Linked DNA regions of Styela clava. Each later gene encodes a partner of the first gene's protein in a complex. Links are inferred from orthologs where the notes say so. Each region holds a gene or a part of one and is shown on either strand. Other genes may lie near its edges. The genes, in order: DNA replication complex GINS protein PSF3-like and DNA replication licensing factor mcm4-B-like.

Region 1 (17,374 bases):
CATTCATTTCAAAAGCCCCGAAGTTTTATTTTATCTAACTACTTTTCGGTCGTATATTTAGGCACTTATGTTAAATCATCAGTTGTAATTATTTACGGTTAAATCGTAAATATGGTTAAATAAATAAATGAGGTATCGACACGCCTCAACGACCTTTGGTTGCGCAATACCAGAACCGATTTCTGGTTCACATTCTAGTGAGAAAGGAGGCGAGAACACTTCATCGCGGTACAATAATATCATCAATAACACTGGGGTACAATGGAGCATGATTCTGTCGCAAAGGTAAATTTCATTACGGTATTACCTATTATGTTATTGAAATTCCTCATTTCAGGGAGATGAATACAGAACAAAATTTTATTTCATTCAGATGGGCTATTTGTGCATTAAAAGACTAATAACTCTGCGCAGGTTAGAATTATGTAAGGAAAAATTAATTGCAGAAGATTCCTGAAATCCTTGTTGTCATAGAGTGGTTACTGTATCGCTTCCTCATCATCATTTCTCTCTCTTCTGCCTTTAGGTTAAAAATCATATTCTGCTCTTATTTCAGCTCGAGTTTGTTGTCTCAATGACTTGTAACACTTGCGTGGAAAAGGTAGAGAAAGTGCTTTCTGGAAACTCCAAAATAATCGGATCCAAGATAAACCTCAACATCCAGCAGGTTGGCTAATTATAGCAAGGAGAATATAAATAACTATAAGTTTGAATCAACACAACCTTATAAAGACTTACTGTGTAAATAACCAGATATGGGGCATGTTGCAGTCTTCAGCTTCATTACTGTAATTTCCCTAGTCATATTCTTCACGAAATTTCTATGGGCTTCCGCATTTCAAATATTCTATTAAAACTAAGACAGTGTTACAGTCACTATTGAATTTGGACTGAAAGTTATCTTGGATTCAGTTTTCAAGTTGTAATAATTCAAGTTTATGTTTCAACATTCCCTATTTCATGAGCATTGTCCATGTTTAAAAATTGATAGTAGCCTACAATAATTACAAAATGAATTTTAAACTATTTTATTCAAACAACAATCTCCTTTCACAAACAGTAGTGCTGATAAAAAGACACATTTTTGTGACTATATTTATTCACTAGGTAGTTGTTGACACAGCACTGCCTTTCGAAGATGTACAAAAATTGATTGAGAGCACAGGAATGCAAGCTGAATTGGTAGGAATAGGATCTTCTATGGGAAAAGGTTATACATGTATATTTTCTATTACACAAGATCATTGGATGCTGTTTACAACTATTGGGAAAAAGCAGTCGATAGATTCAGGATCATTGATTTACTCATGTAACACATGCTTCAACTTTTTATCTATTGTTATAATTGAATGATTTAACCTACTTAGATTTAGAACCCTTGGGAGCTGCGGTGGCAGAAATTCGTGGAAATTCTGTCAAAGGAATTGTAAGGCTCGCACAACTGACAAATAACCTTTGTTTAATTGATGGAATTGTTGATGGTCTCTCTCCAGGTTACCATGGACTTAATGTTCACACTTATGGAGACTTGTCTAACGGATGCGAGGGGTAATATGTTATATCATTAGGAATGATGCATACTATTTGAATTTGATAAGTAAATTTTATATCCATGTTGTCAACGTCACAGGGTATAAATATCAGGTTATGGCCCTGACCAACCCTTTTTCCACTGCGCACATTGTTATGAACAAATCGAAAATTTGTAAGGCTGCGCACATTGTTATGAACAAATCGAAAATTTGTAAGGCTTTGTAATGGCACAAGTAATGGCTATGTCAAACCCTATTGTGTTAACAACTGCTTAAAAATGAGCTTTAAAGTTGTTTTATCACTAGTTAGCGAATAACATAATACCTAATTGAGTAAGAATGAAACTAAGTATAATTCCACATGTTACTGTGTTTTCAACAGGTGTGGTGAACATTATAATCCTGATAACAAGCGTCACGGAGATCGTCTCGCTAAAGAGAGGGTAAGTTTTTATCACTTTCCATAGTTTCTAATGTGTCATTTAATGTTGTTTGGCCTTTCAGCATGTCGGTGACCTGGGAAATATAAAAGCTAACGATGGTGGACGAGCGAAGTTCAGGTTTACGGATAAATTTCTCAAGGTATCTTCCTACTTTATTTCAATTCACACAGCAAACATTTGTAAGAGAACATATCCTTCATTTTAGGTACATGATATTATTGGAAGATCAATTGTTATCCATGAAAATCAGGATGATTTTGTATCGATTGATGGAAATTCTGGTAAAGGGTACGAATTAATGTATTTTTTTTATCTGGCTTCAACTCAGTACTTACCGCTTGACCTAATTATATTTACAGCGTAGCATGTGCAATAATAGCAAGGTCATCAGGGCTGTTCCAGAATTCCAAACGATTTTGCACGTGTGATGGTATCTCAATATGGGATGAAAGACATGTTCCTAATGTTGGTAAGGTGCGTACTGAATTCTCGCAGCCTTGAGATGAAGAAGTAAGGCTCCATCTGGCAAATGAAATATTTCCATCCTGCTGGGTCTTGTCTAATCACTACCACTGCAAGATCATCATTCTTCAAATGGAATCAGTTCATTTTACTGGATTATTATTACATCATACATAGGGTCCTGGATCCGAAGACATTCCAAATTTCTTTTTCAAGGGAATTACTCTATGCTTAGAATTTCAATACTCGACACTGGGCAGAATTTTGCAACAAAAGGTTCACAAGCTAGCTAAATCTTTCCTTTATCAGAGATTTCCAGAGAGAGATATATGTTTTGTATTATAACTGCTAAGCCCAAACTAGCAACTTGATAATTTCTTGGACTCCTTCAATGGATGGTTGATTTAATGATAAACAGATCTTTTCAATATTTTTTTAACTTTATGAATTTCACCACATAATGCACAAACCAATTATTTCCTAAATAAAATGTTATTTAAGTTGGGATTTATGTAAAATATGCCTGCATGCTAATTATTAGCTTAAAAGGGAATATGCGCCAATCAGTAGTATTTTGCTGTCCAATACTGGGATCAGCAAAACATTACCAAGAATATGCAAAGACACATGCTTCCCAAGGTTTAGGAATACCAATCACTGATTACTAAGTACCGTAGTTTTATTTCTTGAGGGACTCGTCAACTTTCTGACGCTTTTCTGGAATATCTTCCTCTGTGAATACAAGTTCAGAGAACGATTTTATTGTTGTAAATCTTTCCAGATCATCTTTTAAGATGGGGTAGTTTCCTGGACGTAGCACAATACAAGCATTCATTTCAGCTGTTGTTGCTGCCTCTGCTTCAGCAAGGACATCTGTCAAGAATATAATATTTTCTGGGTTCTCGCCTATTGAATCTGATATCTTAATGTAACTCGACGCTTCTTTCTTCGCGCCAACATTTGTGTCAAAATATCCACTAAATAGTGGGCAAAGGTCACCCCTATTGCTATGTCCAAAAAGTAGTTTTTGTGCCTTTATACTTCCAGAAGAATAAACAAAAAGCGATTTTCCGTCAGTCTTTAGGGATTTCAAAGTACTCGGCACATCCTCATAAACATCACCCTTGATAAGTCCATCTGCGTAAGCAGACTGCCACATGTGGCCTTGCAACTGTTTCAAGGCTGTCGACTTTCTGTCTTTAGACATTTGCCACAAAATGTTTTTCACCACAGATTCTTGAGCACCTTTTTCATCATGTGATGGTATTAAAGGTACATCTTCAATTTCCGATTGTCTATCAGACTCTGCCAAAGCTCTTAGAGCTTCATAATCATCTAAGAGTTCTTTTTCATTCCAGTTTTTGGTCAAGTATGTCTTTATGTTTTCTTTGATGTATGGGAACAGGACTTCAGTGACAAATGTTATTGGTGTAGTGGTTCCTTCAATGTCCACAACAATTGCTTTAATATCAGTTTCAACAAACTCTTGCAATGATTTTCCTTTTGTGCTCAACTTCATTATTGCATAAAATTCTGTAATGGAACCAAAAGAAAAGGAAGTTTGACTGTTAGAGATTTCTGCAAACTATTGTGTGGTATTTCAGTTTCAAGCTACAAAATCGATTATTAATGTTAGCAGGGATAAAAATTGAATTAACAAATTTAGCAGAAAATGTAACAACCATTTCAAATTGTGTTACAGTCCTAAATGTTATAATTGCATAGCTCTGGTTAAACTGTTCCTGTGAGCAGTAGGAACCTAAGCATTTCGTCCTTAATGTGTCTAAATAGCGTGGCTGTTAAAAATGATGCGTCTTGTCATTGTATTTTCATCATCAGTGTTTTGAAACCAGTTATATTTTGCCAAATCGATGTTATGATTGCTCCTTTCAGCATTTATATTTATGCTAAGAAATTTGTCTTTATTAATTTTCAACCTCTAATTACATTAGAAATTCCAGTCATTTAGTTTTTGGCATGGCAACAATCTGCTTAGATGCCAATGGACTTGAAAACGCTTTCCTTTCAATTATATGGGTAACCAGGATAACTACCGGTATGTACATCATATCCTATCTTCATCAGCACAACATACGTTACCACATCGGTCAGCCAGTTACAGTTGAAGTGTAGGACTGTAGGTTACATTCAGTCATCAAGTAACACTATTCATTATTATAAACCTTATGTGTGTTAATTCTAATTGATTTATTGTACCTAATGTTCTTTATCATATATTCCATTAGTTCTCAATGCCCAACACTTCACCCCACATGGCTATACGCCTATACCTACCGACCGACGCCCCCTCAAATATTCCCCAAACTGTTATTGCCATCAATGTAGCTGAAGTGGGGAATACCCTGACAATTTTATGGTCTGGTGGCTCATCATCATTTTATTTCGGTATTCTGACAAAAAAGAGAACAACACAAAAAATAAACAGAAAAACAAGATGCAGAAATACCTGGAAAGCAAGAATAACTCGCAAAATGAAGTTGAAAAAAAACAAAAAAACAAATGTTTTTTTTGAGGGAGGGGTTAGCATTTATATCACCTGGTGTCACAATTAGTTCTGTAAATGAATCTGACGTCATAATTTCTTTTCTTTCCATCTTTGTGCGGTGACTAAGTAATTAGCTATAGAAGTAAGATCGGGCCCAAAAATTCCGCCCCGACCCAGGCCCGTGGGTATTAAACCCGACCCGAGCCCGTCTAATTAACTGGATTTGCAACCCAAGCCTGAAATTTCATATTTAATTTAGGCGTTCATTGAATAGTCATTGCAAGAGTTTTGTACAGTATGTGTCATGTTGATGAGGTAACTTCTGTTTTTTGCAGACCATGATCTTTCGTGGTCAAAACGCCTCATTTAAAAAAAAAGTCAGCGATTGAGAAGCCAGATCCGATTCGAACGTAATGATTGACATTTCCGGCCCGAATTTTGGGTCGGGCTTCAGATCTTAGCTCCAATTAGCAATGCCTATCCCTACAGCCGATATACATAGAATAGAATATTATGGCGTATTATTTCGTAAAACTAACAAAAATAATTATATAGCAATGTTGAAATTACGTGGCAAAATTAAACATAATTCCAAGATAAAAAGAACACAAAATGAGTACAAAGCAAAGGCATGTGTAATTAAAAATACTAAAACAACAGCCAGTTCAATATTCCTCATATTCACGAAAGTATATCAGTATTCTAATTGGTTAGGAGGATATCAAACTTCATGAAAGTTAAAACCATAACTCAATATTAATATTATCATCTCTCCTCATGCGTGGCACCCGTATTTCTACAATCGTTACTACTGCACAAACTGGAGCAGGCAAAAACAGACTTCACACAAAGGCATTTGCTGCTCATGCAATTCAATTTGGCACGGTTGTATTCAAAAGGGTGTGTCTATATACAAGAATATATATATATAAAATCTTATACAAGAACTTGTGATTTACATAATATGTTAATACGCATGCAGATTTTGGTGTATATTCATAAACAGTGCATTGATAGGTATCTTTTTGAAGATGAATAGTGAATATAAGTAATAAACATCAAAAGTGTTGTTAAATAAAGTAACTGAAAGATTTGGGCATTAAAAACGGTCTTGACAATGGAGAAGGGTACGAACTAAGCTATCCTGGGAACCAAATGAACATCTATTATGCCTGAGGGCGTATTATAAATTTAAGGTGAAAATTCTCCTACTGAACCTATTTGACGGTAGCGTCAGTTTCATAATGCACAAATAAGAAATCATTTTTAGCAGATAAGTTGAAACTGAAGACATGGCAGAAATAAGTGATCCTATTAAGGAGTGTTAGATGTAGATGCATATTACCTGAAAGTATTGTGGGACTGAGTTCCCGAACGGCTACTTACATTCTTTTCCACTTTGCGCAGGCCCCCAATTGCTAGATGATGGAAATGATAAGCCCAGTGATGAGAGCAGCGACAGTATGTCGGGTAATTAGCCAGTTATTTCAGATGCTTGGACTTGATGATGGAAGAAGCTGTAACCGACCCGCAGTTACGTGAACCACCCTACGGCGGCGAAGAGTCCAGCAATCCTCTCGCACATGGTTATCTCCCACGGATTTCGGAACTGCCTACCCACGCAGAATAACATTCCTAACGCTTAGCATGTTGCACCACACTGAACCTGAACTATGATCGTGTGAAGCGATTGCATATTTATGAATCCCCTTCTTAGTTGACCCGAAAGCTTTTCATTCATGAAATTTTTCCCAGCTTCCATCAACATTTTTTCGCAAGTTTAACAGCCAAGTGGATAGCAAGATTCATTATACACCCAAGATTTGTCTTTTTCTAAGTTACACTTTACTTTTACGCATGAACCTCAAAAATTCTCTGCAATTCCATCAACTCCACATTTTATCCAAACTTTGGCTACCATTTTGTTGTGATTTTTATTATACGCGCTAAGCGTTTAAAATTTTAAAAGTTTTTTCAGGGGTCAAGGGTCGGTGCAACTTCGATTCCTGAAATCTGCACCCACACTAGTGTTAACCATGGTTGAGCATTGAGGGTGTTGAGCACAAACAGAATTCGGGTCCAGGACTCCGAAAAACAGGATTCCGGGCCTGGTTTTCAACAAACAGGATCGGATCGGGAGTAGTCTATATAACGACTCCATAATCAGCAAAAAGGCGATAAGATGTTTGATAAAAACAAATTATTAAAAACTGATTATGAAATCCAGAAATCAGGAGAGTAAACAAATCCGTGGACAAGTTTTAAAACGTACAGAATATAAGACTGTAAGATGGATTGCCAAAAAGAAGTGGTACGTGTTCACTCACCTAAGAAAAAAAAAATAAAATCATTCACACACGCACACAACCATAGGGCATTAATAAAATTAGAAACGAGAATATCGGTCAGAGACCCATGATTTATCAATAGTAAGTTAGGCGATCCCCCAAAACAGCGCTCTTTCTCCATAGTGCCACCTTGTGTCCCATCACTAATTAATTAATAACTCGCTAATTATACGACATAACTCATTCAAAATCTATAGGCTTCTGATCCGAGATATGATGAATGCATATGCAAAATTCGGAGCGGATTCATTCTCTTTTTCGTGAGATATCGCTTGTGTCTATCAGACAAATACCCATCAACATACTTTCCGATCTTAAGATCGATAAGTAAAAAGAAAGAAGCTTTAGATAAATTATATGGTAACCAAAAAAAAATAAATAAACACATAAAAAACAAATTAGAATAAAAGATGAAATGTAAAAAATAATAAGGATTGTTTGCCACACCATTTTTATAATTTTATAAAAATATCCAAACAAGAGTGAACAGTATTTAATATAAGGACAAAAAAATGATTTCGCTAAGCTGATTATAATTGGAGTCAAGTGCCAAGTTGCCCAACCAAAGTTGAGTGCATGAAGAGGTAGGCTAAACCTTTTCATTAGCCAAAAACATGCCAAAATATTGCCAAATTGTAGTCCAGATTACATCAATTATTAAATACAGAAATACTACTAATAATGTGGGAATATTTTCGGTTGCCCGGAGTCAATCAGGAGTCCCAACTAAATCTATATTATACCCGATGGAAGTACCGTACATACATGCATAGTTTAAACGTACTTAAATTACAGAATTATCTGTACATAAATATTGAAACATAATCGTGCCTCGTTAGGCTGATGCCATTGATGAATCCTTGTTTACAACTGCTGTACAAGCCTGAACCAGATGTTCTGTAATTTCTAACAGAGTTCAGGAGTTGGTTATTCATTTGAATTATACTGGCCATCATATTCACTGCATGGTTAAAGGACCAAGTAGATAAAGTTTCCAATGAGCGAATAATATGTTATTAAACTTTTGTCTATAGATAATATACCTATAATTACTAATTATACTTATGGATTGTGCTCCTCCGAGCGGAAGCTTGAAGCAAAACTATTTTAGTATTGATGATATTTTAATGTCAAGTGAAAAAGTTCCATGTAGCTTTCTTTTGCCAGTGTTTGGTTTGGGTTTTCTGGATCCAGGAAGTGGTAAAAAGGACATAACCGAAGGTATTGCAGCAGTTGAATATTATGTATTGTTGCAGTATGCAAATTTTACATAATTCCAATTTTAAATTACAGGACTGTTTTTATGAAGTTTCATCACACTTTTTTTTAAGAAGCCACTGTTCAGGCTGTTACATAAATCTCTATCTACGTTAGTCATTCGGGATGGACCTATTTCTCTCGCATTTAATCCAATTTTAATAGATTAAGTTGAACCTATTTTTTCCACTGGTGCATATCACTTATGAAGGTTCATTCTCTTACGAGTATGCCAGCTAGCTCGAATGTTGTGAAATGCATTATTTAAATTTAACAAAATACCATTGAGTTTGTCTGGCTATCCACTAGCTACATGTATTATTATATAAACCGTGTAGTATAATTCCTGGTTCACACATTCTGATAATGCAAAGCTAATCTTCAGGTACAAAGATGGATTTGCCATTATGGCTTGCATCATCACTTGGAGCAAATCCTAAAAGAAAACTTGTATCTGTAGAAATAACAAAACCTTACAGAGAAGTTTATAGAGAAATTCTGAAGGTATTTTGAAAACTAATATTCTAATGAAATTTTTGTAGACAGAAGGTATTATGTGTATATTGTACAAACAACAATTCATATTGAATATTTATATAGGAATATGGGTATGGTAACAAGCTGATTAGCGGGCTAACTATTGAAGCTCAATTTTCACTTCTTTTATAGTTCACTTCTCTGTTATTAGCCTTTTCCAGCCATAGTCGTGGTCCCTCATTTAATAAACACAAAAATTTGTCAAATAATATTTTATTTAATTTATGAACCTTGTGTGTGCTATGTTTGGTTTTGCTGCATTCTCTCCTCATATTTTGCATGTGGCTCTGTTCATTCCCTGTTTGGTTATTTCTCTTTACATTCAACAACATAGGCTGATGCATCAGTTGTAGATCTACATAAACTCGGTCCATATTATTATGCAATGGGACAACAAATGCTGGTTTTTAATGCAGATGAATCTGTGTTTGTTGCAAGAAGTCTAGTTCAGGTAACTTATTCATGTTCTTTTCTTAGGCACAGGATTATTGTTACATTAGGAGGTGTTTCACATATTCCTCTCGAAAGATGATTTTAGTAAAGCAACTGTGAAAGGGATCAAAATATTCTCAATTTGTTAATGCTCAGCCTAATTTGTTTCACACGCACTGGGGTAGGGTTTGGATCTATGAGATTTCAATAGTTGGGCCCAATATGATGTGCTTCCATGTCACCTATATCACTTCCTTGTAAAAATCTTGAGGGGATAGTTTCAAATACATCTTGAATTAGGTTTCATTCTTCAATGCAGGCATTTGCTGATAGATTTCGCAGGATAATGGATTGGTCAACCAATGCATTCAAATTTGACAGTAATAGACATAAAGAAAAACTGGATGAAGTTGAACGAAATTTATTTGAAGTTGGACAAAAAAGTCTTCATAGTCATATGAAATGGGAGGTGGGAACTAGCCATAAATTAACTGCTTCTGAAATGGTAATCAGGCATAGAAAACGAAAGCGCGATGCTGAGTAAGGACTGTTTTCTGTAAGCTGATTACTATACCAGCCAATGAGTACTGACTTGCTGATCTGTGCACGACATGACATGAATGTCTGAAGAGTGAATTGGGGTATGGTTAAAGATACTAAGATGTTGAGCTAAAATCATTCAAGCACCAGACTAATAAAGAATGGTATCACAGTGTTGAGGCAAATTATAAATTCTTATTGCCCATGTACTCTCTGAAATCCATCTGTTACATTCAAAATGTAGAAATTGTCATATACTTTCGTAAATTTTATTTACTCATTTAATAACATTTGGCATATATCATATTGGCATTATTGCAACTTAAAATCATGACGATCAAAAATAATTACATAAAAACATAAGTACATACAACAATGAATTTCAAAAGTTAAAGGATGATGGACACAGTTTCATTAGTACCAGCACCGATTTCCGACTTTGGGTGGAACAACCTTTTTTCCAAGCTTGTGTGCCAGCACCATATAAGTGCTCTTCATGTCATCAAGATTAATATAACAACCCTGGTAAGGTAGATGTCAAATTTAAGAATACTATTTTGAGGGCTAATGTTTGATGAAATTCAAGTTTAAAATCTAGTGACAAACCATTGAAAATATATACTGTTTTTGCCCTCTTTTAAAATAAAACATTGAGATAACATGCAATGGATAGTGATAGGGGAGTTCTGCGTTAGTGTGTTATATCACTAGATGCTGGTGAACAATCCAACAAAATTATCCTAGTTGCTTCACAAGTTTGTGATTGGACACTATATATGCCCCCAAACTCAGTCACCTGTAAATGACGTTTTCCTTCTTTCGTATTATATTCCTTACGAGCATGGGCCATTCTTCTGTTGTTGAAGATTATCAAGTCTCCAGGCTTCATTCGGAAGCAAAACTATATATCGAATCAAACGTTTATAGTCTTTTATTGAAAAGCCATCATATTCTCATATTCCAAAGTAATATTAGAGTCAGGGATGGCCAATTCGAATATCGGAATTAGCGTTCATAAGAATATCGGATATTTGTGTGACGTCACACATTTTCGACGCCGCTTTCACGACGTTTCCGTTGAATGAAAACATTCTCGATAGAAACTTGCGCGTGATTGTTTTCATCACTCATCAGCGTACCGTGTTATTTAGGCCGTAAACGCCTTTACGTTTGTGTTATTTTCTCTAAAACGAAAATTTTCCACAAATTTGTTCCACGATAACGATGACAATTATTTCATTTTTGTACGCGCACGGAATTGTGAACTGGTAAATACGTTCATCGGCGGCGAGTTTCTAAAGACGCAACTTTTTGATTGAAAAGCAGCAATTTAAAATACTGAAAATAAAACCGCAAACAATATAAGTTTTATTGAGGCCCGCGAAAATTTAAAAAACGCTTTTCTAGGCAGTGAAAATCGTAAAATTACGTGTGCCTCTGGCACACATTATGTTTGGTCAGCGTTTAGAAATATATCGTCACGAATTGAGGGCGGGATTTGCCTGATTATCCATTACTTCAAATTGCCGTCGAATATTTTCGTGTTAACATGATACAAGGTTTGGAGCGTGACTTTTTTCGGGCTGTGAGGATGTATATAATATAATTAATCCAAAGTATATTCAATCAATTTTATTGTGATGAAATGAATTTTACTCTGAGTAACAGCAGATTTATGGATTTTTCGAACGGTTTTATTAGAAATAATCAGGTTCGCAGCATTTCGATTGAGCGGAGTCACTGTTAACAAGTACATCTAAATATTTGCCGAATTCGCAAAATACGGATCAAAACATTATTTAATCGGCAATTTACCACACGTTTTTATTTTTATGACCGCGGATTGCAATGGTATATAGGAGTGGTAAGGATTTTATTTTGTCGACGCAACCGCAGGTTAAATTGAAGACAATTAAATTAATAAAGCAAGACATTTTAAACAAGAGAGCTATGCTCAAATATATGGACACGTAGAGTCACATAATTTTGATGACGTCATAGCGAAAAAAAAAGTAATAGCCTTCTGGAGAAAATTTTTATCTTTAACCACTGAAAATTTCAAAGCAATTGGTCCAGTATTCGAAGAGAAAAGCGACTTTTTAAAAACGTGTCAAAGAACAACAACAACATAATATTGAAACGATCGTTATGTCCACTACGTGTCCAATATGCCCGTGTCGGTCACGAATTCATCACTTTGCACAACAGAAAAATATACATTCGTTGTCATATTATTTGTTGTAAAAGTCGACTCTTTTAACAGGTGGCATAATCGCGGCGATGAATATCTATTTTTAATTTACTGCTAAACTTTATATGTATATTCATTATATGAAATGATTTATACTCTACAATTTAAGAGAATTTTATATCATTATTTGAGATTTTTCTAACGGCGATAACGAGTTGGAAAGATTGCAAAAATACGTATTAAAATTAAATACATCAGGCAGTTTGTCTCGTACTTTTAGGTCACAGATCGCCGTTCACCGAATAGTAATGTTTTTTTTGACGTAAGAAGAAGCAACCGCGAGTTACGTTGGACACATTAAATTAATATCTAAAAATATTATAGAATCTCGTAGTTGTCATGGATTGAATATTTTACGTGACAGGATGATCATTATACGCTGAAAAAGACGGCTTTTTAACGAGCGAGGAATCGCGATGGGTGTTGCAGGCGACAATATGTTACACATAATAACAATATGGTTCACATAAATTAATATACAAATATACTGGTAGGTAGTAGAATACTCTAGGCTTAAATATTAGAATTTTTAAGGGCATAATGAATTTTCGATTGTTGTTGCTTGTTTCAGTTGCCTGTATTGCCAATAAATTTTATTACTCTCAGAAAATATACACAATTATCTGAATACAAGTAGTATTTTTGTCAATAGACTTGACTATTATCGTATTATCATGGTACCAATGATAGGAAGCGTCAGACAACTCCTTGTCTATCTTTTCATATGGTCATTTGTACTAAGTGAATAATTTTAATAAACTGACTGTGCCACAAGTTGCTATTATTTTTTATTGATAGCTATAAACTATCAATTACTTTGTGTACATATACTGTTGGTTTGTGGTTTTATTCTGATATTTCTATTAAAGCTCATTACCTAATTTACTGGGTTTTAATAAACTAAAACAAAAATGTGTTATTTTCGATTTTAGAATGTATTCGGAAGTCCAGATTCGAAAACATTATTTTAGAATGTATTCGGAATAGTTTAGTATTCGGAAATGGCCATCCCTGATTAGAGTCTTATGTTGCTGATATAATGTCTTGTCGGGGTGAATATACTGGCCAAAGTCGCCTCGCTATCGTGCTTTATGTTCGAAGAAGTTTAGGTGACAAAACTGGGTGTTCCAATGCGTATTAATTAACCTTTACTTACTTTACTCACACCCACCAATGCGCCCTTACTGTAACACGTTATCACTAATTATGGGATCTTGATCTATTTATAAGCCCGCCAAAGATGGCATGAATATTATGTCAAAAATAAGATTTAGTAAGATTATAGCATGGATAGATTTCATTTATACCTCTAATTCCTTTCTCCGTAATATTCTCAAGAAATGCACGTACGCTTTGAAGTATCTCTCTTCATCTTCGAATCGAACTCTTAACGCTCCTTCCACTCCCGGGTTCCAGTAGATTGCCACAGTCTGAAACAAGCAAGTTCGGTTTCAATATTGTATATTGTATTTCATATTTATCACAGGGGAGGTCGTTAAGATAGCTTGTTCATACAGTCTGAAACAAGCAAGTTCGGTTTCAATATTGTAGATTGTATTTCATATTTATCACAGGGGAGGTCGTTAAGATAGCTTGTTCATACAGTCTGAAACAAGCAAGTTCGGTTTCAATATTGTAGATTGTATTTCATATTTATCACAAGGGAGGTCGTTAAGATAGCTTGTTCATATGGTGTACCACGGCCTCTCGTGGGGTTATCGGTAGCAGTCCATATCGGGCATAGAATTAGTTGGTCAGTTATTTGTTTTGGATGCATGGACTTGATGGTGGAGGAACCCCAAACCGACCTACTACGTTCACCTGAACCACTCCGCGGTTCCAACTTTCCACCTCGCGCAAAATTGTCCTCCACGGGATAATTGAACCCGCACAGGGTAATCGGAGGTGCGTATTTCTAACGTTGGCACGGTGCGCCATACCGCCGAGCTTTTGTGTATATGTATCAAAATAATAATTTGCACCAAAACTACGAAAAAACGACCCAAATTAGCGCTATCACAGAAGCATGCATATATATATGAAAAAAGGTTACCTATTACCATGTTCTGACAGGACGAAGAGGCGCGATCTCCTGGATGAATGAAAATGACCGAGTTTATCCGAGACAATTCAAATTGTACGCGATTGCGGCATGTGGAAGTCAGCCTATTTCTAATGTTATTAAGCATTCAGATTTGATTAATACTAAATATTCGGCCCCTGTTTTGGAATACACCGTTCAAAGCCGTTCTACAGCAATATTCTGAATTGGATGAATTTGACAAAATTGCCCACGACTGCAAGTGCTAGCCTCAGTTCAACAAAGCTTAGACTTGACTTACGTTTCCAAAGTAATCAACTTCAATATGCGTCCTTGTATGCTCGTACCAAGCTGGGTTGGGGCGGTTCAAATCCTTTGTTTGAAACGTACCAGGAACTGTACATAGCACTTTGAAGTTTTCGGGAGATTCCTTTTTTAATATATCCGCCACGTGAAATAAATCTACCAGCTGTGATTCACCACCTTTGATTGAATCGTCGAATCTGAACATAGTTACGTAAAGTTCTAAATGCTAGTGCACACACGGAACATATGTATATATATTTTTTTTTCAGTGTGGACGAAAAGTCGGTTGAAACTTTTATCTGTATATATGGGTCTGTACCAAAAATAGAAGAGCAATTCTCGCCATAGTATATCTCTTCATCCACTCCTAATAGAACTTACATTATGCTCGAAAATTTGCGTATCTTATCTCTTATATATATATAGTTATATTCATCGCTATCAAATACGATAGAAATTTATTTAAAAATGTTGCTCAAAGTATCGGCTCAGAAGTTAATAAAAACCCGGAAGCTGGCAAATTCTCGTAGCTGTATATGTACTTCAAATGTCTTTTAATGCATCACACAGACATCTGGTTTCAACTACTGGAAATTATTTTGGAAGTAAAAAGCAGCTTAGGAAATATAAAATAAGGATAATTGTTGTATTCTGTAAATGTGAAACAAGGCACCATTTGGAATTATTATTCGATATCAAAATTCACATTCTAAGTCAATCGGGAGCTCAGTATGTGCACAAAGATGGCGCACAACCTGAACATAGTATGTGTACCAGATTAGGGTTCAGGTTGTGCGCCATCTTGATGCACATACTTCGGGAGTGCCGTCAATCGCGCAAGTATGTATGTATGTATGTGGCTACATGGCGAATACAAGGGCAGATCAATAGATATATAAAACATGCGTAGTTGCGTATTAAGTTTTTATAAAGATTACAAAATTTCATGTTACTACAATAATTTTTTGTCCAATTTCGCATCTGATAATTTTTAAATGAAATTATTAAATTAGGGAAATAGTATCGTGATGAAAATGTTGTAGGCCTACTCGGAAATCTTACTCAAGAGCATGAAGAAGTTGGACTCCCGGCATTGCTTCATAGTACGGTAAATCTTGATGGTAGGGAAGTCCCAAACTGGTATATGCCGAGTTATAAGGATCCGGCTCATACTTGACATCAAAGAACTAAATAAAAACGAAACAGTAAGCAAATTGCATCATCGTATTAATGGTTCCAGAGGTCGGGATATGTGCCTAAATCGATTTCTGAGCTTTACGGCTGACTTGTATGTATATTCATTTCCGAATCCTATTTTGCGCTGTTGTATCCAAATACTGCAAAGTTTTTAATATGGTATTGGAAAAACTAAATAAAAATAGCAGATATTTACGCTCACAACATCCTTAACACACGCTGATCGTCGAGCATCACACCCCTTCTATTTCAATTAAATTTCTTTTAGGGGATGGCCAAGTTTGATCGTCTACTTTGTGTACTTACTCAGATTATCGTCACAATTTGTATTTGCTTTTGGAACCATAGCAATCCATTGACGCCGGCGATTGTATCATTGATTTATAACAAAAATAAATAACAAATTCGCAATTGTACAATCGCAACTACAACAACTCAATATTGAAAACGAGATTCTTTCTCAACTGCACTTACTTTTTCGTACAGAGTCGATCGAATATAACCAAACATTTCGCCAACCTACAAACAGAAATTTTTAGATTTTTGAATAAGTCCTATATATATATATATATATATAAGTACAACAATATATTACCGATTTTACTGCATATGCTAGAATGATGACGAAAAAACCTAAAACGTTTATTTTCGTTCGATGAAAATTTCTAAGCATACTTTGCGTGTCTAAATGATGCTGAAATGGTTGGTTAATTTGCTCTTGTCAACTCCCGTTTTCGCCAACATATAACTAGGACAGTATGGAGAATTGGATGTATGGTCCTAATCCTAACCGAAGTTCCCAAAGTCCTAATCCTTCCCAAAGTGAATAGAAACTAGCAAAGCGTGCTTATGCGCACGCAATTTAAAAGTATTGCACATTAAGGATATTCTATGATTGAATTCACACCAAATTCTCACCTTGAGCACTGTTAGACTCTCCCTCGTGACATTTTCTATCACGCAGAAACCAACGTCAACAATTTGCTTAAGGCATCTAAAATGAACAATTAAGTCGAAATAGAATCGCAATACAATTATTGTGCCATTCAAATTTAATTTTTCGCCTACTCAAACTTTCCCTCTTGAGATTGTAGAGAGTCATAACAAACTCTTGGAACAGAAGTGGTTGCAGGGTTTGCAAAGTTGAAGTTGCTCCGAGCAATGTCGGCTTTTAGACACGAATCACAGTTGCAGTTTTCCTTCAGCCATTCAAAAGGTATAGCTGTCTCGTGATTTTCCATAACCTCTTTGTCGATTTGCACATGCAAAACGCCATCTGTTAACAACATATTCATTTAATGATATAGCCTGGATTTTCTTCTAAACCCTTGAATATATTGACCAAAATGACATCTAACTCAAATTGATAAAACGAGAAGGAAAAATACAAAAACGTACTTAAAAGTTATGGCCATATATACTGATACAAAATCATTAGTGAAATAGAGGAATATCACATTCACATATATATTAGTATTTTGATGTTTTCCTTTCGTTTTGATTGTCAACTCCCGTCATCACA
Region 2 (16,758 bases), on another chromosome or scaffold:
AGGAACCACCACTGGCAAGAGTCCTGCAATTCACTCGCACATAATTATTCACTAAGAGAATTGATTCTGGAACACACTCAGGGTAATTGGAGGTGTGATTGCAATGCTAAGCACACTGCTCCATAATGCCAAGCTATATTACATTCTAAAGCATTATGGGTCATTTTGGTATGAAATATCATAAAAATAATTTTTGCATGTTTTTGTATATTCACTTCGATTTATCAGTGTCTGTATGTTTTACATCTGACCTTATTTTTACCAAAATTTCCATATTTCATTTTCAATAGGGCACAGAAAGGGATGGACCCTGAGTCAGAAGATTTAAGATCAGTTATGACAGGAGGAACAAGACCTATTCCCTCTACTGCTGCCTCTCAGGTATTTTTTTATTGACAATTCACAGACATACATTCTTTTACCGGTATATACAATAAACAGGCCCTGATTTGTACTGATATCACTGGATGGATGAATATGAAAATCTCGTTTTATGTATTTGATTAAACAAGACTTCCAATTCAAAACATTTTAGATTGGAAATTCTCGTATGCAGAAAGGTAGTTTTAAAAGACAAGGAACATTAACAAGCATTGCTGGAAGTACAACTGATTCTGATAAAGGGAAAAAGAAAGATGGCGGAAGGTAGAATATCAGAAACATTTTCTTCAGTTAATATTACAATTTTTGTATGTATGTAAGCCGTGAATTGAATGTGCGATTTGGATTTTCTGTGGACACCTTAATAGTATGGTTCTACTGTGCTCATTCATTTTTCGCTCAAGTTCATTGGATTGGTGGAATACACTTGCCATTGCCCCTATGATTACTCTGCATGGGTTTGCAGGATCAACATAGCCGCTGGTCAGTTATGACTTCTTGCACCATCGAGCCCATGCATCTGAAAAGAAAATACTGGCTAACTAATCCCATAGCTGACATGGACTGGTACGTGTGACTGATGTCGATGATTAAGTCATATTATCTACTTTCTTCTCCTGAGATAAATCTGGAAATCCCATCCTCCCTCACCAATAATACTGATTTTAACATACTTGTAGCAATTCTTCTTAATAAAATGTATTTTATTCTGCTTTTCTTTTCCAGTCGAGTCGGATCTGGTATATATAAACGACGTGAAACTAAATTTGAACTTCGACATATGGTGTTCGGTACCTCATCAACTTCTGGAACTCACTTTGAGGCAAAGGTATTACAAACTCATGTTGGCTAATGATCATACTGAGGGTGTAATAGGTTTTTTATCTGGATACATATTTCACAGGATAGCCAGGGATTGCATTTTTCATGTTTTTATAGCAAAAAGAAGTGAAATTATAAAACAGCTAAATCATATGATATATCTTGGTTCGATCATCTTAGTCGATCAAAACCTTTGTTTGATAGTGACAATACAATTTTTCTAGTTGCTCTGATAAACAAATCTCGATAAAATCGATGTTTATTTATTTCTTGTGTCTCGAGTTAGCCAAGATTTTGCTTTGGAAATAGTTTATGGTCAAACAAGTTGGGACTCACTGGACTAGATTAAGTGAACCACCATTTTATGTGTCATAACTTGCACATAAACTTGCATCCTGAATACTTGGGTATTGTGTAATTTTTCTTTACATCAAAGTCAAAATTTTTAGACGAAACAAGGCATAACTGTAAAGATAAAGATTATAAAGATCAGGATCAATAATTTATTACAACAAATACCTTAGGAATGCACATAGTCAATAACTCTTTTTGTTATTTTCGTATAAAAAGATTCATCGTATACATCGTTAAAGGATAGTGTCATTGTTCAATTCCAGATCACTCAAATACTGTATGAAACATTAGACGGATTACTTTCAACTGGAGAAATTTATTACAAACAGAAAGGAGCGAGAGCTGTAACTAGACCAGATCATATGCAGGTATAATACTATTCTCATATTTAGTATATAAACTTTTGCAAACATAAATATTTTTCAATAAGCTAGACCAACAGTTCAAAAGCTTGAATTTATGGACTTCACATTGTTGTGTGCATGATATTTTTGGTGATATTTTGAGAACATATTTTGTGGTAATAAGTGTCAATTTGCTTGATGGAGTTGTGATAACATCAATTTAGCTTGTTTGTCTTATTCAAGTACTCAATTCTGGAATTTTGAAGATCGACACACCTCTGATCATCCTGTGTTGGTTCACAGGGATAGGTATGTATGAGAGATTGCTGGACTCTTCGCTGCCATAGGGTGGTTAAAGTAACCGTTGGTCGGTTACGGCTTCCTCCACCATCAAGTCCATGCTTCGAATAACAAATAACTAGCTAACTAATTCCATACCCAACATGGATTGGTAACCAGCTGGAAGGCCGTGGTTCGCCATATGATTAGGCCATCTTATCGGCTTTCCTCTTTCCCAGGATAAATATGTAAATTCTATCCTATGTTCTTGTAAAAATAGTCTATGTTCTTTTTCACGAATAATTACCAGTATGACAAAATGTTCTAATTTTACTATTTAGGATAATTTTGATCAGTTTTCTGATGTTGTTGTTGCAAAATTATTAAACTACGAAGAACAAACCAAAGAATACCACAATACTTCTTTACAAGGTAAGAAGGTAGTTTTGATTTCTCTTCACAACATTCGAAAATAACAAGAGAGCGATGCTCAAATATATGATGGATGAATGAACGCGGAACCGCCACAAAGCAATTTCTTATTTTGATGACGTACGTCATCACACACAAAACACGAAATAAATAAAATTACTAGTCTTCTAACGACAACAACAATCTTGAGCCATAGAAAATTTCAAAGCAATTGGTCCAGTAATTAAAGAGCAAGGCAATTTTTTCATAAAAACAACAAGAAAAAGAATTCTAATAATAACACCAACAACACTTTGTGTCCAATAATAATAGATATCATTGGTTCAAAGCTGGCCTATTTCTTTTATGCTGGTGAGATGTTCTACACAGATGAGAATATTTACTTGGTTTATTTTATCAATACTTCAGTTGGTCATTTTCTTGCACTCTTGTTTAATTTTGTGGAAGGATTTTGGTTAATTTGTTAATTTATTTCTTTAAATTTAATGTGAATGACTCGGCTTGCAAACACTAAATTTGTATGTAACTAACTGAATGTCATAGTGATGCCTGACTTATCTGTTTTGTTTTAGAATTCCGCCATCAGTTGAAAACGCTTGAGGAAGATTTATCAGAAGTTCCTAATTTAGTTTTGGACGAGATATTGAGAAAAAGTCTTCAAAATCTCAGAAGAGAACAACAGATCATTCAAGCTGAATTTTTAATAAAAGAAGCTAACTGGAAAAAAGTGAAGGTTTGTTTCATCTTTGTTTGTGAAATATTGTCAATTTGTGATCCTATATGACACTACAAATGAGTGATAAGGATTGCTTCATCAGAATATTACTGTCATTCAGTTTAAAATAACTACCATATTGATAACCTGCTTTGCTAATGATTGTAACACATATCTTACAAATAAAAGTTGATCCCAATGGTGGATTTGATGAAGAATGAAGCTGTAACTGACCAGCGGTCACATAAGTCTAGCAGCCCACTCGCATACATGTACTCGACAGGATTCTAGGTGTGATGGAAAGCGCTTCCAACTTTTAACAAGATCCATCAATCATTATTTCTATTGACATTTATTTTGAATAACTACATGAGAAATTATTTCCAACAATATAATTTAGTTTCAATATTTACATTTTGATAGGAAAATCACAAAGTTTCTCTCAGACCAACATTAGGCCATCCTGATCAGGAAGTAAGACTTCAACAACTGATAACAAAAGAAGAGGAAAGACAGGTTGGATTATTGCTTAAGTAGTACATCCCCAATATTGAAACTAACCAATTCGCCGTGTAATAATGGTCGAAAGCAGTTGTGGGATTCAGGCGGTTCGCACCGGTTCTATAGAACCGTCTCACGGAATTTTATGAGACCAGTGAACCGGTTACCATTACTGGTTACTGTCAATGACTTTTAGGCAACAGAACCGACTAGAACATATGACTTTTCTGATGGAACCGGCTAACAAAAAATTTGAATCCCACCACTGGTTGAAAGCCCTTGTTTCAGATATTGTAATCCTTTTATTTCTATTTCACCCAACCCTTTGAGTTCATTCAGAAGGTGCTGACATTTTTATACTCGTTAATTTGTATATTATAGTTCATCCAAAGTTTCCTAATGCTAGAAAATTACTGTTAAACTATGCGAACAAAGGCATAGGTACCTTAACATAGATCAAACATCCCAGATCTTGGTCCACAGAAATAAAAAAGCAAGCTGAAATATCGTGATAATATAGTGATGCCAGTCTCAGTCTTTTGAGACTATCCGCTGTTGAGACTATTTTCCAATGATACTCCAAATGATAATTTAGAATATACAGGGTAACCAAAAAAACAAAACTTGTAAATTTCTTAATTACTCCTACAAAAATAAAGAAAATTTATTTAACACTTGAACCTCTGTTTGTGTATGATTCTTCCCAAAAGTTGCAGTAATATAGAACGTTTTGCACAAACGTTATGTTCTCTCTGGAATATGTTCTATAATCGGTGCCCCAGAGGTATGTGCATCTGAATCTGTGGGCTTCAAAGAATTTCTTTTTTTGTGTGCGAAAATGTTATAAAAAATTTTGCGATTGCTACACTAGTACCGGTAGCTGTACTACTTCGTTTTGGTCTTCGTGCCCATATATTAAGCATCGCTCTCTTGTTTTTAGGCTGAAAATTTGTCTGGTATTCAACAACACAGCAAGGATTTGAATGAAAAGGCTCATGAAGTCACAAAGCATTTTTTGCTCAATATTGGACAGGCTTGTGCAAGTTTATTGGATCAGTTTGATTATTCTCTCACAATCGATGATGTCAATTCAGGAAGTATGAATTATTGTCATATGTTTTGATGACTGGTAAATAATTTGATTTGTGGCTGGTTCAGATTAAATTTGACACTTTGTGTGTTGGATTGAAAATTTAGTTTCTACATTATATACGAATATTTATTGAAAAAAGTATCAGTTTTTTTAGTAAAGTTGATACTTATACAATTTTTCATCCAGTTAACAGGAATGGCATCAATGTTTAATTAGCGAATTTAGTCTTTCAAAATATCTTGATATTGGACAATTTTCGGTTTTAGCGTTGAATTTCGAATTTACTATTGAGGGAAGAGGGCAGGATTAGCCATCTAACTTATAACTTGTGATCTAACTTGTGTAGTAACTACTTAATAGCCCCATGTGACTGTATAAGTTGATGATAATTTTAGAGATTAGTTCGGCTTTGTAAGCTTAAAAGGGATTACTGGGATCATCACAGCCATAGGGTAGTTCATGTATCCGCTGGTTGGTTAATGCTTCCTTTGCCATCAAGTTCATACATCTAAAAAAAGTGACTGATTAACTATTCCCATTCCTGAAATGGACTGCTAACCGGATAAGAGGCTGTGACCCGCTATATCAGGGGTCACCAACCTTTTCGAGGCCGAGGGCTACTTTCTGGGTACAGATTAAGCCGCGGGCTACCAATCCAATGTACACTTCTAAAAAGTCGCAGCTGTGTGGCCATCGTTAGTGTGCTAAGCGTTAGGTTCGCGAGGATAGTTATGTGCAAGAGGATTGCTGGACCCCTTGCTGCCGTTGGGATGGCCCGGGATAAATATGTAAATCCCATCCTATCCTGAGTTTATGTCAAAAATGTTGATTCACAAAGATAGGTTGAACGAAACAATGGTCTCGTAAAATAGAATTGCTGTATGATTTGAATCGCGAGCTTTTTCTGTCCGTACTGCGCTGGATAGTTAGCGCGGTAGATTGCGTGACAAGCCGTGAAATATCTTTTCGCTTGCCGTCGCTACAATCGCCCCACAGATGAGACACGCGCAGGCTGTTTTCATGTTGGTAAAAATATATCCACCCCCAATCATCGTGAAAATGGTGGGTTTTTCATCGTTTTCTGCCATTTTTCTTTGGAATCAATAATTATATTATTGCTGCTCCACAAACCAACGGAAAAGAAAAAGCGCGGAAGTGCGGGTTCGTAGTAAGTGATATCAGTGTGATGTCATAATTGGAAGAGTGTTAATTGACCCGTCACATTACTGAGGGTCAAATAAAAATCAGGTTGATGGCTACAATAATTAATATAGTGCCATTCCCGATTCCCATATAAGTGTGATTTATACAAAAATAGCAGGACAAAATTTAATCGATGTAGCTTACTCATAAGCGCCGTTATTAAGCTCAGTTTGGAACAGACCTGCGGGCGACTTATATGGTCTTCACGGGCGACTTGGTGCCCGCGGGCAACGTGTTGGTGACCCCTGCGCTATATGATAAACCTGTTTCGTCTTTTTTGATAATCCTATTTTGTAATTATTTATATTCATATTTTTTAGAAATTGAGTTGAAAAAAGAACCGACTAGTATATTACTAAGGAAGAAAGCTGCTGGTATTGATCTGCATGACACTTCATATAGACCATCTTTGCCACGTGGACCTAATGTCTGGCCAGGGCTTGAAGTTTCTCATCTTCTTGAAAAGGGAGAAGTATTAACTGAAGTAGCAGGTATTGAAATTTTGTCTTCTAAATTTGAACATTTCTTAAAACTCACTGACTCATTGCGTTACGGGTTAGGTTTATTGCCCTTCATGGAGGCATTTGTGAACCCTGTTTGGGAGTATCTTGTTCAATGAATTGGTGGATCTCTTATCATCACAATGTGGCTTCCTTCGCTAGGTATGCCTACACAAAAATAACTGATCACATTATGGTTACTCTCAAACTGGACTTCCTTTTGGGCGAGATAGAATTTTCCTATTTATTTCAAGGGGGAGAAAATCAATTATATCTATGGCAAGTTTATGTCCCGATCAAATCTTTATGTGTCTGTAGAATCTATTGTAAAAACGTATCAATTGAGGCTATATACCCTACTGGTTCATGTCCCAGTTATGTGCACCACCCTACCTCTGAACAGATTCAGTCAATCCTCTTACTCACACATATCCATCACACGATTTGAACCTGCTGACCCAAGGAACAGATTAGAGGTGCAAGTGCAAGTGTGTTTCTTCTCTAGTATTAACTTACCCTGAATGGCATGAATCTAAACTTCAATCATTTTCTCAAATTTACAGAAGACATAAATTGCAACAAGACGACGCTTTCACACACATCATCCGTAACCACGAGAGATAAATGCCTTACAGCCTTCACTGAAGCCTATAATTCAGTCATGGGTGAAATTAAAGAACAGGAAGAATTAAGAACACTCAGTGAAGAGAGATGGGCAGAAAATTGGCGACAGTCTGTTCGAAACGTCCAACAGCTTTATACGTGATTGATAAATTCAAAAGATTAAGTTGTTATAGGATGTAGATGTATATATATCCCTTGTATTTTCCACTGTTTGTAATAAAGTTTTAGTTTCATAGTGTATATTATTTAAGGAGTGAATGAGGTGCGTTCTACCAGAAATATTCCAGTTGTGAATAAAAGCGCACACGCCTTGGACTTAATAGTCGTGACTCGTAGTTTTGACGAACGCATCATCACTTTTCGGATAAAAGGTCCTAAAATCCCTTTAAAATAACTGTTGAAATGGCTCCAAAGGCCAAAGTAGGTATTTTACAGAAGAGCGTGCTGCCACAGGTTCGGTGGATCTTTGTAATGGTGTCGCAGTCATAGTCAAGTTTATTTTTTCCCATTCCCATTTCCTGAAAACACATTTTTACTGGGGAAGGGAAGTCGCGGGGAACCAGGAATGGTTATCGAGCAGCGACACCCGAACCATAGAAGTCTGAGAACTACTGTCCTAGAAATTGTTTAGTTGCAGTAATCAAAACATCGCTGAATCAGAGGTACTTAAGTAGTTACACAACACTAAATTCGTTCAGTCATTGTATTTCAGTTCTCTAACATGAATCAAAACAACACAAAAAGTAAACAGAATACAGAGATATCAAAAAAAGCGGCCATAACTTTTAATGATCGCAACGATTTATGTCGGAATAACGAAATGAAATGATGGACTGATTGAACTCGCGATTTAAAATCGTGCAAATACTTCTACACAATTTAAAATGATATCAATAAATAGAATCAATCAAACAATTTATTTTGGTCACTCTGACCCAATTAAATGTAAGAACAGAGCCATTGGGGAAAATTTACAATCGGGCAATACAACAAATTACTGCTTATCCATATTATTATATCACATCTAAAATGGAAACCAGGCGATTTTTCCTCTCGCTCTCTACACTTTTAATCCATATTTAAGTATGACAGTCCAAAAGTTCATTGGTAGTTTAGATCTGGCCAAAGCCGCGTTTAACTAGGTTTGTGTTTTTTGTAATTTTTCTTTATGTGTGTGCTGGTGGGCGGGCACATGATCAACTTCATGTTTCGAACGTTTTTAAAAGTTTGGCTCGCGTTTCAGAATTCTCTATTTTTAATTTGTGTGTGATATTAAGTTTTCAAACGTTCTAACTATCTATCCATCCCATATTTATCCCTGCTTGGAAAAGTTTTGAGCAGATCGATGTCATTGAGCAGACGCACCACATGCAGCGCTGCGCCACCAGGAGCTAAACAACTTCGATCTGGCACTCCTCTTATTGACCGGTGAACATGTGTGTGTGGCGGGAAAGCTAAACATTTGCATAGGCTTCGACAATAAGCCAGTTTGTTTACCAGGTTGCCTGACACCAACTCAGTCATCTTTTGCCTAATTTTTGATGTTCTTGACGTTTATCGGGGAATAAACCATGTCTGATAGATCGACACGTGAGTATTAAGTTTATAATACGTTTTGCTAAGATTTCACTGTGTATTGCCAGGCTTAAATCTGTAAATGCTATTTATTCAACCATTTGCGAAACTGATTGCCAAAATATTTTAAAGCGTCGTACCTTAAATCTAAAAATAGAGGATGTGATTTATTTACCGTATGTCAGTATGTGAAGCAAATTTAAAAATATACACCAACAGACCAATGCTAGATCTGGAGATTGTTTCATGTTCCTGTGTTCAGATCTTCTGGTCTATGAACATAAAAAAATTGAGTGTCTGTTTCACTTTTTCAACTGCCCTATAGGACAGTCTCACAATTTCTTGACATTTGCCAAACTAGCCTACTGGCCTAGGGCAATAATACTGTAATACATTAATGCTGTAATGTAATATCTGAATACAGAGCGTATGGTAATATGTGGCCCTATTTTCTTTACTTTAGCTTCAAGAAGAAGAAGAAATCCCAAGTCTCCTGGTCGACCACAGGTGTGTTTCTTTTAGTCTTACAGTCTTATATTGTTAGTCAATCTGTGTTCCATTTACAGAATTATAGCTGGATTTACTGTTATTTTTGTATTTTTCAGCAAAGTGATACCAGTAGGCCCTATTGGGTTTATCTTGAAAAGAGCTCAAATCTGCAAATAGAATTAATATAGCAATTTTTCACTGCCATTGATTTCAATTGATAATGCATTATCAATTCTTGCCCAGTCTTTGAGAATAATAGCCTATGTTTGTTTTCTTCATTGTCAGGTTCCATCAGGAAGTAGTGATCCTCACCTCTTACCAACATCACCTGCCAGGTTATTGGATGTTTCTAGAGATGCAATATTGCCAAGTCCTGGATCTATTCTGGGTAATGTATAAATTTCAAAAAATTGGCAGTGCGTGACTAACTAGTGCATTGTTCTAAGCGTTAGGAATACACTCGCCACTACACACCTCTAATTACTCTGCTTGGGTTCGCAGGTTCGAATTTGATGTGGGGATGGTAATACGCAAGGGGAATGCTGGCCCCTCATCGCCCCCTCTTCACATAACCGCTGGTCGCTTATGGCTTCCTCCGGCATCTAGTTCATGCTTCCTAAAACAAATACCTGGCTATTTAATCCCATACCCGACATGGACTGTTAACTGGACGAGATAACGTGGTTGGCTATATCATTAAGCCATATTATCGGCTTTCCTCTCTCACTGGATAAATATGTCAATCCTAATTCCTATTCATGTTTGAGTCTGTTTGAGTCTGTTCCGGATAAGCATAGGATTTTCATATTTATCCTGAAGAAGAGAAAGAAAGCCGCTAGTAGGATGTTTCAATCCATCTGGTGAATCACAGTTTCTCGTCCAATAACCAGTCCATGTCAGGTATGGGAATAGTTAACCAGTTATTTGTTTCAGATTATGTGCGAGAGTTTCACTGAACTTCCTGTAGTAATAGACTGGCTCCCATCACAGCTAGCCATTTTTGACTTTCTCCACCATCAGAGTTCATGCATTTGGAATGATTGACTGATTAGCTCTTCTCGTACTCAGCATGGACTAGTTTCCCATATGTTACTCTGGGATAAAAATAGGATAATCCTTCACTGCTTTTATAATTACTAACTACAAAATACTAATCTGCCGACTGTTGCACAGGTGCCAGTGAGCTGAATTTGTCTTCTCCATTGTTGTATGGCACACCTGGTGCTCGTACTCCTGGTCGAACTCCTCGTGGAGCTGCTACACCAGTACGACAGAGACCTGATCTAGGAAGCAGCAGTAAAGTTCGAACTGTTAATGTGAACCCAGATGCCCAACAGGTGATAATCTTACAATTGACATCAGAACTGCAAACTCTCGCCTATCAACAAAATGTTGTGTTGTTTTGCTTTTATGACAGATACTAGAATGGAGTGTTCTTCGGAACTTTCCCTCCAAAACAGGTTTTTTGGTCTATTGGCCATTTCCAACTATCTTTATTTAATTTTTCAGTCGTCTGATGCAGCGCCGCAAAATGCAGACATATCTGATGCTGCTGATCAACCTGCAGTCAGTAACCAACTTGTAATATGGGGAACGGATGTTGTTGTCAGTCATTGCAAGGAAAAATTCAGTCAATTTGTTACCAGGTACTAAATCATAATTTTTATGGAGCAGTTATCGTTATCAAATGATGATTTTATCACATTGTGTCTAAAGTCTAAAATGAGGATTTCACTTTAGTAAATGTTTTTGAAATGTGTGTATAACCTTGGAATTCTTTGAATCTTTACCCCAATTCTCTATGCCGGGGGTGTGCAATCTTTTATACGAAAGGGCCAGATACAAATAACTAGATGAAACCATGGGCCTCACCTTTTTTCAACATATGCTTTGTAGTAGTTGCAGGCACAAAAATGTTGGTTATTAAGCTTATGACATGCGTTGTTCGCTTCGCACAAGCTAGCTGTAACGTCATAGACATAGATGATAAATTGCACCCGGGTATAGGCTTTGCAACAAAAAGCGATTGGAATTACTCCCACGTACCAGATTAATGAACTGTATTAAAAATTTGTTTCTTTCATTTACATTTAATAAGGCTTGTTTCATAGTAAAGCTTATTAACCGAATAATAAATTATTATAAATCTCTTGATAATATTAAGAGAATTGAAAACGCATTAGACTAACAAACATGAAAACATCTTCTAATTATCTTATTTATTTCAGATTCATTGATCCAAATGCAGACGGAATGGAAGTGGATGACATGGATGTCAACCAACCACTTTATCAACAGAAACTGGAAGAGGTTTACTTTATTACTAAATAATAAATCAAATAAATGAGTTAATCAACTCATGCTTGGTTTTACAAGAGACTAACCACCTTTTCTTGCTCTATGCCTTTGGGCAAGTAGATCTGTATGTGTACAATGCAAGGGTGCTGTAGCAAAAATCAAGTTGACTATTCTATTTAAATCAGGAATCTTGCTGCACACTAACGTAAATATCTTTTGGTCGTAATATTACAGTAATACATTTGTGTTAGTCTGCAAAAAGACTTTTTTTAATCAAATATACCAAATGATTAAATAATAAAAAGTAATAATATTTGCATGACCAGTGACCACATTGATTAGAATATCTGATTCATGAATCCTGTTAAATTTTAGATCAGTGTTACAGAAGAGCCATACTTGGATATAGACTGCATTCATCTAAAGTCGTTTGATCGTGACCTGTACAGACAACTCGTTTGTTATCCACAGGTATAAGCATACTTCTAGAAATGTCAACCCTTGTGTCGTTTCTTGTTTAATGTTTGACAAAGTTTTATTCAAATATTTAGGAAGTTATTCCAACTTTCGACATGGCTATCAATGAGATGTTCTTCACAAAATATCCAGATATTGCACTGGAACATCAAATTCAAGTTCGGCCTTTTAATGCTGAACGAACCAAGAATATGCGATCACTAAACCCTGAAGGTAACAATGAAAATTTTTTTTCTTCTAATAATCAAATCTTCAATTTATTTGAATGTGATAAGAAAAGGTCATTTACAGTTGCAAAATGAGACATGCCTAAAATGATACCATTATATACCAATTTTGGATTTTTTGAGTACAGTGAGTTTGAAAATCTCTATTGAAAATTTAACAAGTTACATTCCTTAATTCTAAAATTAGGAAGCTAGTTAAAACAAAGAATTTTTAATTGGGGCTGTGGATTCTGAATTTGGCATCATTAAAGTCTGCACCGGTTTTAAAATTTCAGATAAAATTTTCTACTAACTAAAAAACATTAGATTTTTCAAGTGTTCTAAACAGTTTATTAAAGAACGTTTGCATATACCTAAATTTTGTATTAAAAAATTTGATTTTCTATGGTTTCGGACAAGGGGTCGGAGTCCATTTTTTACATAATTGAGACTTGAGTCGAAATCATTCTTATTAATAAGAGGCACAACCAAAATTTTTCGTTTTAATTTTAAATTTTTCGTCTTTTTTCTAGATATTGATCAACTGATCACAATCGCTGGAATGGTTATTCGAACTTCATCTCTTATACCGGAAATGAGAGAAGGATTTTTTAGATGCAACATCTGCCTACATGAGGTTGTTGTTGAAATTGAGAGAGGCAGAATTGCTGAACCTGCCACATGCACCAATTGTTCAACTGTACACAGGTGAATACAGTATATTTCAATTTAAAGCTACTTTATCTATATCAGGGTTATGCTTTAAGATTAGCATGGTTTCAGTGGAAATAGAGAAATTTATTAATATATTGCATATTGATGATGATAACTCTTCCTGGCATACATGACCGGTTTGTTCTAGGTGAAGTTTTCAGTATTTTCCAATACCTTTTTGTGATTTGCAGCCACTTTAAGGTGAAAAAATGTAATAAATTTCTTTTAAATTCATAGCTAGCTATTCATCTAATACAGAGGTGGGCAATTACTTTTCTTGAGTGGGCCAGTTACAGATTGTAGACTTAGATCATTTAAAGATAATAGACTTGGTTACCGGGCCGGAAGCTCAAAACTATGAAAAGTATGAATAAATAACAGTTTATTTACAACAGCTAGGCTAACGTTTATATAATAACAAGAAGCACAATGTCACAATTGGGGTCGTTAGCGCGGTCCGTATTTTGCCCATCCCTGATCTGATGCTATTTATATTTTAATGCAGAAATGCAAAGTACTAATATAATTTAGTCATGCTCAAAACTACATTAAAAATGAGGCATTTTAAATCAATTTTGTCTATTGTTTAGATTGGTAGTTCACTAGTTTGCCTCAAAAATTATCAATATTTTGAATGCTTGAAAGAATTTTGCATCTGAACTTATTTTTAGGTTGATATTGAAATTCTATGTAAACTCTTAAGCTTCAAAATGGCCTTATATTACTGTTTAAAATTTAACAAATGTATTCTTTTCAGCATGAGTCTCATCCATAACCGTTCGCTTTTCACCGACAAACAAATGGTAAAACTTCAAGAATCTCCGGATGACATGCCAGCTGGACAAACTCCGCATTCTGTTATTTTACATGCCTATAGTGATGTGGTTGATGTTGTACAACCAGGAGACAGAGTGATTGTGACTGGGATTTACAGAGCTCAACCTTTTAGAGACAATCCTAGAATGCGGAATGTGAAAGCTGTGTATAAAACGCACATTGATGTTTTGCATTTTCAGAAAAAGGCTAGTCTTCTATTTTATTATTCAAATTATAATTTTTGAAGTTTTCCCCACACCTATTTCATATTTAGTCTAGTTGTTTTATGCAAACTCAAGTCATTTGGAACATATTCTAGAGAAAACATAATTTTGTGTAAATTGTCCTAAATTACTAAAACTTTTGCCTTGGGTATATAGTCATACACAAACAGAAGTTTCAAATACATTTTCTGTATTACTACGACGAAAAGGAATTTGTGGGTTCTGTTTTTTTGGGGGCTCACCCTGTATATTGTTTAAAAAAATGTAGATTCAGAGATCAAGGGAAATCTCTCGTATCAATATCTAGCTTTATTTAAAATTTTATCATATTTGCAGGACAGTAAAACTAAAGTCACTAACGACGAAGGAGATGAAGTCATCAAATTTTCACAAGAACAGATTGATCAGATTAAAGAACTGTCAAAGCGCTCTGATATTTATGACAGACTTGCATGCTCGATTGCACCGAGCATTTATGAAAACGACGATGTGAAAAAGGGAATTTTGTTGCAATTGTTTGGTGGAACACAGAAAGATCTAACTGCTGCTGGGAGAGGACATTTCAGAGATTGTCTGCATGTTCTATTGTGTGGTGATCCAGGTAAGACTCTACAACTGGCATGGGCAAACTACCACCCATTGGGTACTCCAATCTGGCCCGCCCGATGCTGCCACAACCAAACTACAAACAAATTTTGATATGTTAGCTAAAAAATAGCTCAATGAATTTGTTGAAATTGCGATTGAATTTAGTTTTGGCACGAGGCTTATTGTTTTCTACTTTTGTAACACTGTAAATATTGTTCATAAAACGTAACTTATAAATATGTAAATCAACTTGAAACTTAAAATAATATTATAAATTAAAATTTAGATAAAAATGTTAAACTAGTAAAGTTAGATTTTACGAAGTATCATGGATTCAGTTCAACAACGTACATGTAACATTGCTTTACTTTCTAACATACAGGTACTAGCAAGTCTCAGCTTCTGCAATATGTTCATAACATGGTGCCACGGAGTCAGTATACGTCTGGAAAAGGATCAAGTGCTGTTGGATTAACTGCTTATATTACGAAGGCAGGTTTTATATTCATTTCAGAAATCCAATGTGTGTCCATTTTGCTCAATGAAGTATTTATGTACATATCCACAATAACCCATAAAACCCTCCTCGGATCCATGGCTGAAAAGCACTGGTTGAATTTTGTATTTTCTTTAACAGGATCAAGATACCAGACAGTTGGTTTTACAGCCAGGTGCATTGGTACTGAGTGATAATGGAGTTTGTTGCATTGACGAATTTGATAAAATGAGTGATGGAACAAGGTAGTTTCCTCAATTGGATTTTTGAATATGTATAATGACATTTGTTATTTCTAGTTAACCCACTTAGTTATCTCTGACTCATTTTTTTTTTAGGGTTGGTTCTCCAATTTTATAATTTATTTTGATAAAATATATGTCCATATTATTTAGGTGGTTTTTAATTCTGTTGTCAGAAATCCAAAATCTTTCTGTTTTTTAAAAACACAACATTCAATATATATTTTGAGGTTTAAGATTATTACGTACTTTAACTACAAACTGATATTCTGCAAAAAGTATTAGTTTTACGGCATTCCTTTTCTAAAACCCCAATATAGATCAATCCTACATGAAGTAATGGAGCAACAGACGCTTTCCATCGCTAAAGCTGGAATTATTTGCCAACTGAATGCTCGAACATGTGTTCTTGCTGCTGCTAATCCATGCGAATCTCAGTGGAATCATCGTAAAACAATCATCGAAAACATCATGCTGCCTCACACATTGTTGTCAAGGTTTGCATTGTTTAGCTATTAACTCAATTTATTTCCCTTGACAGTTTACCGAAATAACAAAATTGGGGATGAGAGATCCATGAATCTAATGCAAAACTGCACTACAATGATACTGCACTTTGATTTGCAACTAGGGTTAAAATTCTACTTTTTTTACTTGATATTGTGTGATCAAAACTTATTACCATGATCGCGTGTCAGGATTCTACTTTATAACAATCCTACCAAGTACAAACACGCAGATTATTTGAAATTGGTCGATAGGAAGAATTCACCAGCTGCTTTGCATATTCAGATGGCGATAACTCTGGATTACAAAAATTTGGCTCAGACTACGACTTCGGATTTTCATCTGTGAGAATGAAAAATTTGAATCAGACTCCCTGCTCAAAACCCGAAACAATCCAATTCCGGGAATTGTTGTATGCAAGCTTCCCCTGATACTGTTAAGAAAGCTTAGTAAACTTGAATCTTCTTGAGTTCCGTAAAGAATTCGGACTTCTTTAATCACCACTGAGAGTCTGTAAATTTTGACTTCCAACTATGAGAAATTCAGAATTTTGATAATCAACTTCAGGGGGTTTGAAAATATGTGAGAATTGTTCAGTTATCAAACTTAGGATACAACATTGTTTTAGATTTGATCTGATATTTCTGATCCTCGATCCACAAGATGAAGCATTTGATCGTCGACTCGCCAATCATCTAGTTGGTTTATATCATCAAAGTCCAGAAGATGCAGAAGTTGAATATTTGGATATGAGTATATTGAAGGTATGTTACACCTATTAAGTTCAGACAAATTGACTTATTTTCATGACATTCAACATGGTCTCTAGAAAGATGCAAGAATTAGTACGCCCATTGACACTTTTACTGTATTGATAA

What was found.
Region 2: DNA replication complex GINS protein PSF3-like (region 1) and DNA replication licensing factor mcm4-B-like share a complex: the UniProt entries of both Homo sapiens proteins name them as parts of the CMG helicase complex. The link is inferred for Styela clava from reciprocal best matches to the Homo sapiens genes GINS3 and MCM4.

What each region holds. Positions count from the first base shown.
Region 1 is NC_135260.1:20,656,276-20,673,649, reverse strand, and holds DNA replication complex GINS protein PSF3-like, read left to right. Parts: upstream 1-8,308; 5' UTR 8,309-8,355; coding exon 8,356-8,512; intron 8,513-8,933; coding exon 8,934-9,052; intron 9,053-9,419; coding exon 9,420-9,536; intron 9,537-9,836; coding exon 9,837-10,061; 3' UTR 10,062-10,471; coding exon of another isoform or gene 10,472-10,579; 3' UTR 10,580-10,853; coding exon of another isoform or gene 10,854-10,958; 3' UTR 10,959-13,224; downstream 13,225-17,374. Other genes in the region: copper chaperone for superoxide dismutase-like, read left to right, coding at 262-285, 557-667, 1,108-1,210, 1,368-1,548, 1,915-1,975, 2,037-2,114, 2,181-2,263, 2,335-2,476; enolase-phosphatase E1-like, read right to left, coding at 3,117-3,970, 4,995-5,052; putative gamma-butyrobetaine dioxygenase, read right to left, coding at 10,472-10,579, 10,854-10,958, 13,616-13,738, 14,651-14,852, 15,718-15,842, 16,327-16,371, 16,771-16,846, 16,921-17,128. UniProt on the Homo sapiens protein: Required for correct functioning of the GINS complex, a complex that plays an essential role in the initiation of DNA replication, and progression of DNA replication forks.
Region 2 is NC_135254.1:19,989,706-20,006,463, reverse strand, and holds the start of DNA replication licensing factor mcm4-B-like, read left to right. Parts: upstream 1-8,587; 5' UTR 8,588-8,819; coding exon 8,820-8,838; intron 8,839-9,286; coding exon 9,287-9,330; intron 9,331-9,597; coding exon 9,598-9,700; intron 9,701-10,485; coding exon 10,486-10,649; intron 10,650-10,821; coding exon 10,822-10,958; intron 10,959-11,540; coding exon 11,541-11,622; intron 11,623-11,985; coding exon 11,986-12,081; intron 12,082-12,161; coding exon 12,162-12,300; intron 12,301-12,826; coding exon 12,827-13,001; intron 13,002-13,764; coding exon 13,765-14,029; intron 14,030-14,383; coding exon 14,384-14,648; intron 14,649-15,017; coding exon 15,018-15,127; intron 15,128-15,272; coding exon 15,273-15,376; intron 15,377-15,693; coding exon 15,694-15,870; intron 15,871-16,508; coding exon 16,509-16,644; intron 16,645-16,758. Other genes in the region: coiled-coil domain-containing protein 180-like, read left to right, coding at 291-381, 536-645, 1,108-1,210, 1,821-1,925, 2,522-2,612, 3,185-3,345, 3,751-3,843, 4,769-4,925 and 2 more. UniProt on the Homo sapiens protein: Acts as a component of the MCM2-7 complex (MCM complex) which is the replicative helicase essential for 'once per cell cycle' DNA replication initiation and elongation in eukaryotic cells.